Macaca fascicularis: one gene and its partner. The protein of the gene in region 1 interacts with the protein of each later gene in a biochemical or structural test. Links are inferred from orthologs where the notes say so. Each region holds a gene or a part of one and is shown on either strand. Other genes may lie near its edges. The genes, in order: GADD45A and EEF1A1.

What was found.
Region 2: the proteins of GADD45A (region 1) and EEF1A1 form a complex in vitro, tested with the Homo sapiens proteins (2 studies listed by BioGRID). The link is inferred for Macaca fascicularis from reciprocal best matches to the Homo sapiens genes GADD45A and EEF1A1.

The regions. Positions count from the first base shown.
Region 1 is NC_088375.1:166,989,560-166,993,795, reverse strand, and holds the start of GADD45A (growth arrest and DNA damage-inducible protein GADD45 alpha), read left to right. Parts: upstream 1-1,155; 5' UTR 1,156-1,453; coding exon 1,454-1,497; intron 1,498-1,983; coding exon 1,984-2,085; intron 2,086-2,323; coding exon 2,324-2,561; intron 2,562-3,638; coding exon 3,639-3,752; 3' UTR 3,753-4,236. UniProt on the Homo sapiens protein: In T-cells, functions as a regulator of p38 MAPKs by inhibiting p88 phosphorylation and activity.
Region 2 is NC_088378.1:101,521,034-101,525,442, reverse strand, and holds the start of EEF1A1 (elongation factor 1-alpha 1), read right to left. Parts: upstream 2,951-4,409; 5' UTR 2,542-2,950; intron 113-2,541; exon of another isoform or gene 78-112; intron 1-77. UniProt on the Homo sapiens protein: Translation elongation factor that catalyzes the GTP-dependent binding of aminoacyl-tRNA (aa-tRNA) to the A-site of ribosomes during the elongation phase of protein synthesis.

The DNA of each region.
Region 1 (4,236 bases):
GAGAGTCTATATATTAAAGTTTGTTTTTCAAAATGTGTAACTACCATTTGCAGTTTTAAAGGTCTGCTTTCCACCTGCAAGTTGCCATTATCTCAAAGGTGAAATTTTAGCATATGACTAAAAACTTCCTATAGTTACGGCTTCATGATTCAGCATCTAACATCAATAATTCACAGTGAGATCACACAGGAGGCTCTCTGTGGAAGGTAGTGACATACATACGTTAGGAAAGGAAGCTTAGGGCATATCAAGAGCATTTTGAATTTAGACTTGTGGGCTGTGTGGGTGTCAGATGGTTGTCTCTCGACTGGTGGGCGTCCAGAAGGATCCTTGTTTGGGCAAGGCTCTTTGAGAAAGGAGAATCTGGGTTGCCAGGGATTCCCACATGTGGTCACCAGCTCCCCACGCAGACCAGCTCACGATTTCCCAGTTACAGCGGGCAGGTGGGAAACCGTTCTGCATTCTGTGGAAAAGACTCCAACTTGGTTCCCTGCCATCCCTGAATACAAACGGGTTGGTTTTTCTTTTTTGAGCTTCCAACCCTTGCAGCTTTCCAAAAATAAATCAAACCAGCCATCAGGGCACCGAAATAATACTACTGCTAATAAGCAGCTTCGCCTAGACTTAGATAAACAACACTTCTGAGGTAAACTTTGCCCCAGAGGTCTGGAGACACTTTTTTAATGTAAACTGCTTACTAATAATTACTAGACTTAGGTGCATTAACCCTGGAAATAGATTTTAATAGCCACCCCTTAAAACAAAAGGCATGAAACGATAATAAGAAAAAAGTGCCGCGACTATTATAAAAAAACACTTGGCAGCCTGCTTCAGCCCAAGCTAAGGCTACCTCCCGCCTCTGCTGAAGCCCTCCACTCCCAGTGGTCCCCGCCAACCGGATAAGAGAGCGCGCGGGACCCGCCTTCCTCTCTCTGCACCGCCCCCGTCCCCGCCCCCGCCCCCGCCCCCTCGGCTCGCCTCCCGCGTGGCTCCTCCCTTTTCCGCTCCTCTCAACCTGACTCCAGGAGCTAGGGTCAAATTGCCGGAGCAGGCTGATTTGCATAGCCCAATGGCCAAGATGCATGCAAATGAGGCGGAAGGTGGTTGGCTGAGGGTTGGCAGGATAACGCCGACGAGCGGGGCCCTTTGTCCTCCAGTGGCTGGTAAGCAGTGGCTGCGAGGCAGCTGCCCAATTAGTGTCGTGAGGCCGGTGGCGAGGCGAGGGCCGGAGAGCGAGCGAACGAGCAAGCGGGGCGGGAGGGGTGGCCGAAGCTGCGGCGGCTGGCACAGGAGGAGGAGCCCGGGCGGGCGTGGGGCAGCCGGACAGCGCCGGGGCCTGAGCTCCCGGCGCGGCGCCTGTGAGTGAGTGCAGAAAGCAGGCGCTGGCGCGCTCGCCGTGGCAGGAGCAGCCCGCACGCCGCGCTCTCTCCGTGGGCGACCTGCAGTTTGCAATATGACTTTGGAGGAATTCTCGGCTGGAGAGCAGAAGACCGAAAGGTAAATCGGCCTGCGGACTCTTCCGGCCCGAACTTCTCTCACCTACCCCGCGCTCCCGGGTGCAGGCGGGCTGTGGAAGGTTTGCAGGGGAGGAAGCAGAAAAGTTTGCACAGGGCAACTCCCGCCCTTGCTCCCTCGGGACTCTCCGTGTAGCGTCCGCGGACTGAAAGAGCATGCCCCGCAACCCGAACGAGCCCCGCCGGGGCCTTTGCAAAGGGCAGCAGTGGCCGTCGCTGCCCTTGCGGCTCCTGGGGCTAGCAGCCTGTGGCAGGGGCACTCTCGGGACTTCTCATGGGACGCCCGGTCCTTGGGCGTGCAGGGGTCATGGGGGGTGACGGGGCCGCGGGAGCGCCGGGTTTTCGGAGAGCCCAGGTGCGCGGTGGTGCTTGCATTCGAGAGGGAGGGGCGTGGTGCCGGGCAATGGGGGCGGCGATGGGCCCGAGGGCACCGGGGCTGACGGGACCCCTCGCCCTTGCCCGCGTGTAGGATGGATAAGGTGGGGGATGCCCTGGAGGAAGTGCTCAGCAAAGCCCTGAGTCAGCGCACGATCACTGTCGGGGTGTACGAAGCGGCCAAACTGCTCAACGTGTAAGTGGGGCCCTTGCGCGTCTCCCGTGGCACCCCTTCCCGCCCTAGCCCGGGAGGTCGCCTTGGCTGGGCGCCCCTCGCCCGGCCGCGCCACTTCCTGTCGCTTTTCTTCTGCCCCCGCGGCTGCCTGTCCCGGAGGGGAGGGGGCGAGCTGGCCGGGCGGCGACCCCCGGAGACCCAGGCAGGGGTTGAGGGCGTCCGCGGTTCTGCGCTCACTGGCCCCGCCCGCTGCCCCCAGCGACCCCGATAACGTGGTGTTGTGCCTGCTGGCGGCGGACGAGGACGACGACCGAGATGTGGCTCTGCAGATCCACTTCACCCTGATCCAGGCGTTCTGCTGCGAGAACGACATCAACATCCTGCGCGTCAGCAACCCGGGCCGGCTGGCGGAGCTCCTGCTCTTGGAGACCGACGCTGGCCCCGCGGCGACCGAGGGCGCCGAGCAGCCCCCGGACCTGCACTGCGTGCTGGTGACGGTAAGGGGCAGGGGGACTGCAGCCTGCGGGGTAGAGCCCCGGAAGGACGGGAGTCAGGGCTGGGTCGCCTGATTGTGGATCTGGGGTAGGTTTGGGTCAGGAGGGTGCTGCCTTTGCCCCACGAGAGTGTGGCTGGACTTTCAGCCGAGATGTACTAGTTTCATCATCAGGATAATCTGTGGTACAGAACATGTCTAAGCATGCTGGGGACTGCCAGCAGCGGAAGAGATCCCTGTGAGTCAGCAGTCAGCCCAGCTACTCCCTACCTACATCTGCATTGCCTCCCGTGACTAATTCCTTTAGCAGGGCAGATTAGATAAAGCCAAATGAATTCCTGGCTCACCCCTCATTAAGGAGTCAGCTTCATTCTCTGCCAGTCAGAGCTAAAAATAGAAATTGTGTAGGAGACAAACCTTGTTAATTCCCTAGAAATACATTAAGAGGATAGAGTGGAATTTTTTTCTCTGCAATCTTGCATTTTTTTAATGGGCCTTTTTTTTTTTTTTACTCTTCTGATAAAAACCTTTGGTAGGTAGGGAAGTTATGTTTTCAGGGATAAGTGTGCTACTTTTGTCTTCTAAATTTTGCTTTTTGACTGGTCTAGTCAAGTGACAGCCGGATTATTTTGCTACTCCTTAAAAGTACTACTCTGTCTCTTGGGAGTAGAGTTGATGGCAATTCCAGTTAACTGCTGTGCAGCTCTCATCTCATTGTGCACACAGCATGGAAATCTTTCTCAAAACTGTTTCACTCAGGTCAGGGTAACAAGTTTGGTAGAGCAAACCCGTGAATGATACTCTCATGCAAAACTGAACAGATATGCAAACATATGTATGTGGTTCAGCTTGGGTTGCATGGGTTCAGACTTTGCAGTGTGTAGTTTAATAGGTAATTACCCTTAACGATTTTGCACGGAACCCAACTACTTTGAAGAAACTTTAATTTTTTGTGCTTCTAATTTGTCTCCATGTCACGTAGCCAAAATATAGAATGTTCAAGTGTCTTCTCCTCAAAAGTGTAATACTAGCAAATATCGATTTTTTAAAAATAAGTTTATTTTTCTAAATTTGTTTCCAGAATCCACATTCATCTCAATGGAAGGATCCTGCCTTAAGTCAACTTATTTGTTTTTGCCGGGAAAGTCGCTACATGGATCAGTGGGTTCCGGTGATTAATCTCCCTGAACGGTGATGGCATCTGAATGAAAATAACTGAACCAAATTGCACTGAAGTTTTTGAAATACCTTTGTAGTTACTCAAGCAGTTACTCCCTACACTGATGCAAGGATTACAGAAACTGATGTCAAGGGGCTGAGTGAGTTCAACTACATGTTCTGGGGGCCCGGAGATAGATGACTTTGCAGATGGAAAGAGGTGAAAATGAAGAAGGAAGCTGTGTTGAAACAGAAAAATAAGTCAAAAGGAACAAAAATTACAAAGAACCATGCAGGAAGGAAAACTATGTATTAATTTAGAATGGTTGAGTTACATTAAAATAAACCAAATCTGTTAAAGTTTAAAAGTACAGCCATAGTTTGGGTATTTTTGGTTTATATGCCCTCAAGTAAAAGAAAAGCCTAAAGGGTTAATCATATTTGAAAACCATATTTTATTGTATTTTGATGAGATATTAAATTCTCAAAGTTTTATTATAAATTCTACTAAGTTATTTTAT
Region 2 (4,409 bases), on another chromosome or scaffold:
GTGTAAGTAATAAAAGGCACGCGAGGGCCATAGCCCGTAAAGAGGCCAGGCCCGCAGGAGCCACACACAGTACTTACCTGTGTTCTGGCGGCAAACCCGTTGCGAAAAAGAACGTTCACAGCGACTACTGCACTTATATACGGTTCTCCCCCACCCTCGGGAAAAGGGCGGAGCCAGTACACGACATCACTTTCCCAGTTTACCCCGCGCCACCTTCTCTAGGCACCGGTTCAATTGCCGACCCCTCCCCCCAACTTCTCGGGGACTGTGGGCGATGTGCGCTCTGCCCACTGACGGGCACCGGAGCCTCACGCATGCTCTTCTCCACCTTGGTGATGACGAGAGCGGGCGTGTGAGGGGGCGGGAACGCAGCGATCTCTGGGTTCTAGGTTAGTGGGAGTTTAACGACGGTCCCTGGGATTCCCCAAGGCAGGGGCGAGTCCTTTTGTATGAATTACTCTCAGCTCCGGCCGGGGCGGGGGGGGAAGAGGAGGGGGAGGGGGAGGCGACGAGGTGGCGGCCTGGAAGGGACGTCCAGAATCTTTCCTCTACCATTGCTAGCTTAGCCCCAAAGGTTGTGTTGAGATTAGGGTGTACCTTCGCCCCCCAATCAGCCTCCTGTCCTCAGCCTTGCTATCTCGCTAGTCCGTGACAAATCCCTAGAGCGTCGTCTTCTGCCGGTCTCAGCCCAGCCCCGGGTTGGCTCCTCCTCCGCCCCGGCTTCCGCGCCCCTCCCGCGTGGCAAGGAGTACCAGGCCCGGGGACCCCGAGGGGCTTGGGGCGAAGGGTCTGGACTGGAGGACTCCTTAACGGCTCACGGACCTGCGAGAGGTTCGGCTCGATGGCCGTGAGCTCGACGAATCCGCTCCTGTGCTGGCCTCTTGGCTCCTTCCATTCAAAGCCAGCTGCTTTTATCAAAGCCCGTAACACGTCATCTCCCCCTGGTACTCCAGATGTCCAGGCTTTCAGTTTAGAATAGACTCAGTCCTACAGTTAGCTTTAGATCTAATTCTAGTTTTGTTACGCCAAAAAGTTCCTGCGAGTGTGTGTGTGCCTCATGGTACTTTTTAAATTAAAAGGTGTACAGTCATTTGATTGCAAACATAAGGAAGCTAAAAAGCTTTCAAATTCAGATTTTCCACGTGATCTCATGTAGAGACTAAGATCTACAGCATCAGCAAGTTTATCCACCCAGTTTCCTAACCCCAACACTTGCTATGAAGTCACAGCTTCTCCTATTTAAATAAGTGCCTATTATATTTAAATAAGTGCTTTCTTTTTCTGTCATCCTATAGATTGTAACTGCATTTTAGCATAAATCTAGGGCAAGATTGGATGAGCTTGGCCGTTTTGGATGGCTATCAAGACAGGCCTTGGGAAATGCTCCTCTGAGGAATGAAGAACGTTTATTTTTAATGAGCTAATTACTAGATCATTATGTTTCTTCTTCCAGCTGTAGAATATTACTGCCCAGCTTCTCGAACAAACTTATTTATTAACAAGTATTTGAGAACCTACTATGTGGCCAACGCTAAGTACTGTGGAGTTCCTTCTGGAGAGGAACCCACAATCAAATTGGAAGAGGAAAACAAGTTGGGAAGCAGTTAAAGGCAAACGCGTATGGTGCTTTCTTGGTTTTTGTATCTTTGTAGTATAAAGTTTTCCTAGTCCATTCGGTTTTCACAGTCCACTTTTTTTTCCTTTTTTTTTTTTCCGGATGGAGTCCTACTCTGTTGCCCAGGCTGGGGTGCAGTGGCGCGATCTCGGCTCACTGCAAGTTCTGCCTCCCAGGTTCAAGCTATTCTCCTGCCTCAGTCTCCGGAGTAGCTGGGGCTACAAGCGCGCCCCACAAATTTTTGTATTTTTAGAAGAGACGGAGTTTCACCATGTTGGCCAGGCTGGTCTCGAACTGCTGACCTCAAGTGATCCACCCGCCTCAGTCTCCCATAGTGCTGGGATTACAGGCGTGAGCCACAGCGCCCAGCCACAGTCAAAAGTTTTTCCTCAAGCCCCTGTGATTGCGGATAATAGTAAACGCTTTATAAATACCTTACAGAGAATGTTTTTTAAAATATCACGCAAGGAATGGCAAAATTACATGAATCCTTGATTTATACCTTAGTAACCTATTGCGCAACACCGACTGGGTGTTCTGAGTATTGCGATAGTGGCTTGCGATAGAGACTTTCATTAGGTGAAGGGAGATCTCAATTCTTGCGTTTAAGAACCAACACTGGACCGGGCGCCGTGGCTCAATGCCTATAATACCAGCACCTTGGGAGGCCAAGGCGGACGTATAACTTGAGGCCAGGAGTTCGAGACCAGCCTGGTCAACATGGTGAAACCCTGTCTCTACTAAAAATACAAAATTAGCCGGGCGTGGTGGCGCATGCCTGTAATCCCAGCTGCTCGGGAGGCTGAGGCAGGAGAATCGCTTGAGCCCGGGAAGCGGAGGTTGCAGTGAGCCAAGATCACGCAATTGCACTCCATCCTGGGTGACGGAGTGAGACCTTGTCTCAAAACAAAACAAAAAACCAATACCTTTGAGCCCATCGGAGCCGTATTATTGTGCGTTGGGGTAGTCGCTGGCCACGAGCATTTTCTCAGGGCAGAGATCACATATCTGCTCTCAGTCCGGCAGGGGTGGGCCGGAAGCTGGAGAGGGACTGGAACGCCGGTCCCGGGGAAGCCCCGCGCTCACCCGGCGCGCCCGGCTTCCTAGGGAGGGAGGCTGGGGCGGCAAGGCGGGCGCGGGTGGTCCTTGCGCCGCGCCAGCTCGCCAGGCCACATCGCTGGCGTTTCTCCAGCGCTGGGTCACCTGCGGGCCGGCGGGGTCCCGCGGCGAACAGCTGAGCGGTATGGATCCGCCACTCGAGCCTCCCCAGCGTCAGGTCGCCAGGGTCCGCCCTGTCTCTCCCCCCACCTTGAGGTCGCTTTTCTTCCGCCTTCTGACTGCGGAAGGAAAGGCCAGGGAGGAGGCAGAAAACCTCACGTGGCTCGGGGTGAGGGTCGGTTTTTGTCACCGTGAGCTGGCCTCTAAAAAACTTTTTAAGTCTCAAGTCTTTTTTTTCCTTCTTATTTTAAATCCCTTTTTCCCCAGACCCTATGTTTTCAACATAATCATAACGGATTCCCCGCACCGTACGGGAGATCCATTATGCTTTTTACTGTCTTAAATGTTAAAGCGGTAACAGTAATGATGTTGAGGCTCGTAAATATGTTTTGGGGTTATAATCTAAGGTGATATTTGTTGAAGGTTTTTCCTTTTTTTTTTTTTTTTGGAGATGGGGTCTTGCTCTGTCGCCCAGGCTGGAATGCAGTGGCGCGATCTCGGCTCACTGCAAGCTCCCCTTCCCGGGTTCACGCCATTCTCCTGCCTCAGCCTCCCGAGTAGCTGGGACTACAGGCGCCCGCCACCACGCCCGGCTAATTTTTTGTATTTTTAGTAGAGACGGGGTTTCACCGTGTTAGCCAGGACGGTCTCGCTTGCTCATAACCATTTAGAGTGACAAACTTAAAATACATTGTAAGTAAACATCTACATGACCCCTTTTAGGAAGAAAAACAATTATTTCAGTTATTTACATAGTAATAAGGCAAACAAGAATCCTTCTTTGAGGTACATAATTGTGATTCACTGAGCTTTCAATATAGTCTAATCACTCTGCTATTAGTCTAATTTAAAGCAGCCTTAAGTAGTTACATTTTGCCATGGCTTGCCACGTGAAAATGATTTTTAAATCTTTTTATCTGCTGTATCTACCGCTGAAGAAAAGATGATAGCCAGGTGTGATGGCTCACGCCTGTAATCCCAGCACTTTGGGAGGCTGAGGCAGGTGGATCACCTGAGGTAAGAGTTCGAGACCAGGCTGGCTAACATGGTGAGACTCCCGTCTCTACTAAAAATACAAAAATTAACCAGGCATGGTGGTGTGCACCTGTAATCACAGCTACATGGGCGGCTGAGGCAGGAGAATCGCTTGAACCTGGGAGGAGGAGGTTGCAGTGAGCAGAAATCGTGCCACTGCACTCTAGCCTGGGTAACAAAGTAAGACTCCATCTCAGAAAAACACTATATATATATGTGTGTGTATACACACACACACACACATATATATATATATATATATATATATATTTAAAGGGGTATTTTAGAATATGATTAAGCCAAGGAACTACTTGGACTGAGAATCCAAATAAAATGGTGTTTTAGTGTGACAGGCACTGTTCTAGTATTTGCAATATTTATTGTAATCCTACCACCCACATGGTATAGATGGAGCAGCAATGGGCAACAGATAGTTTATGCATAATAAGCAAATATAGACATATATTCTTTTTAAAAATTTTACCTTCTTTTTGCACAAAATGGTAAAATACAATGTGCCACCTTGCTTTTTTCACCTAAT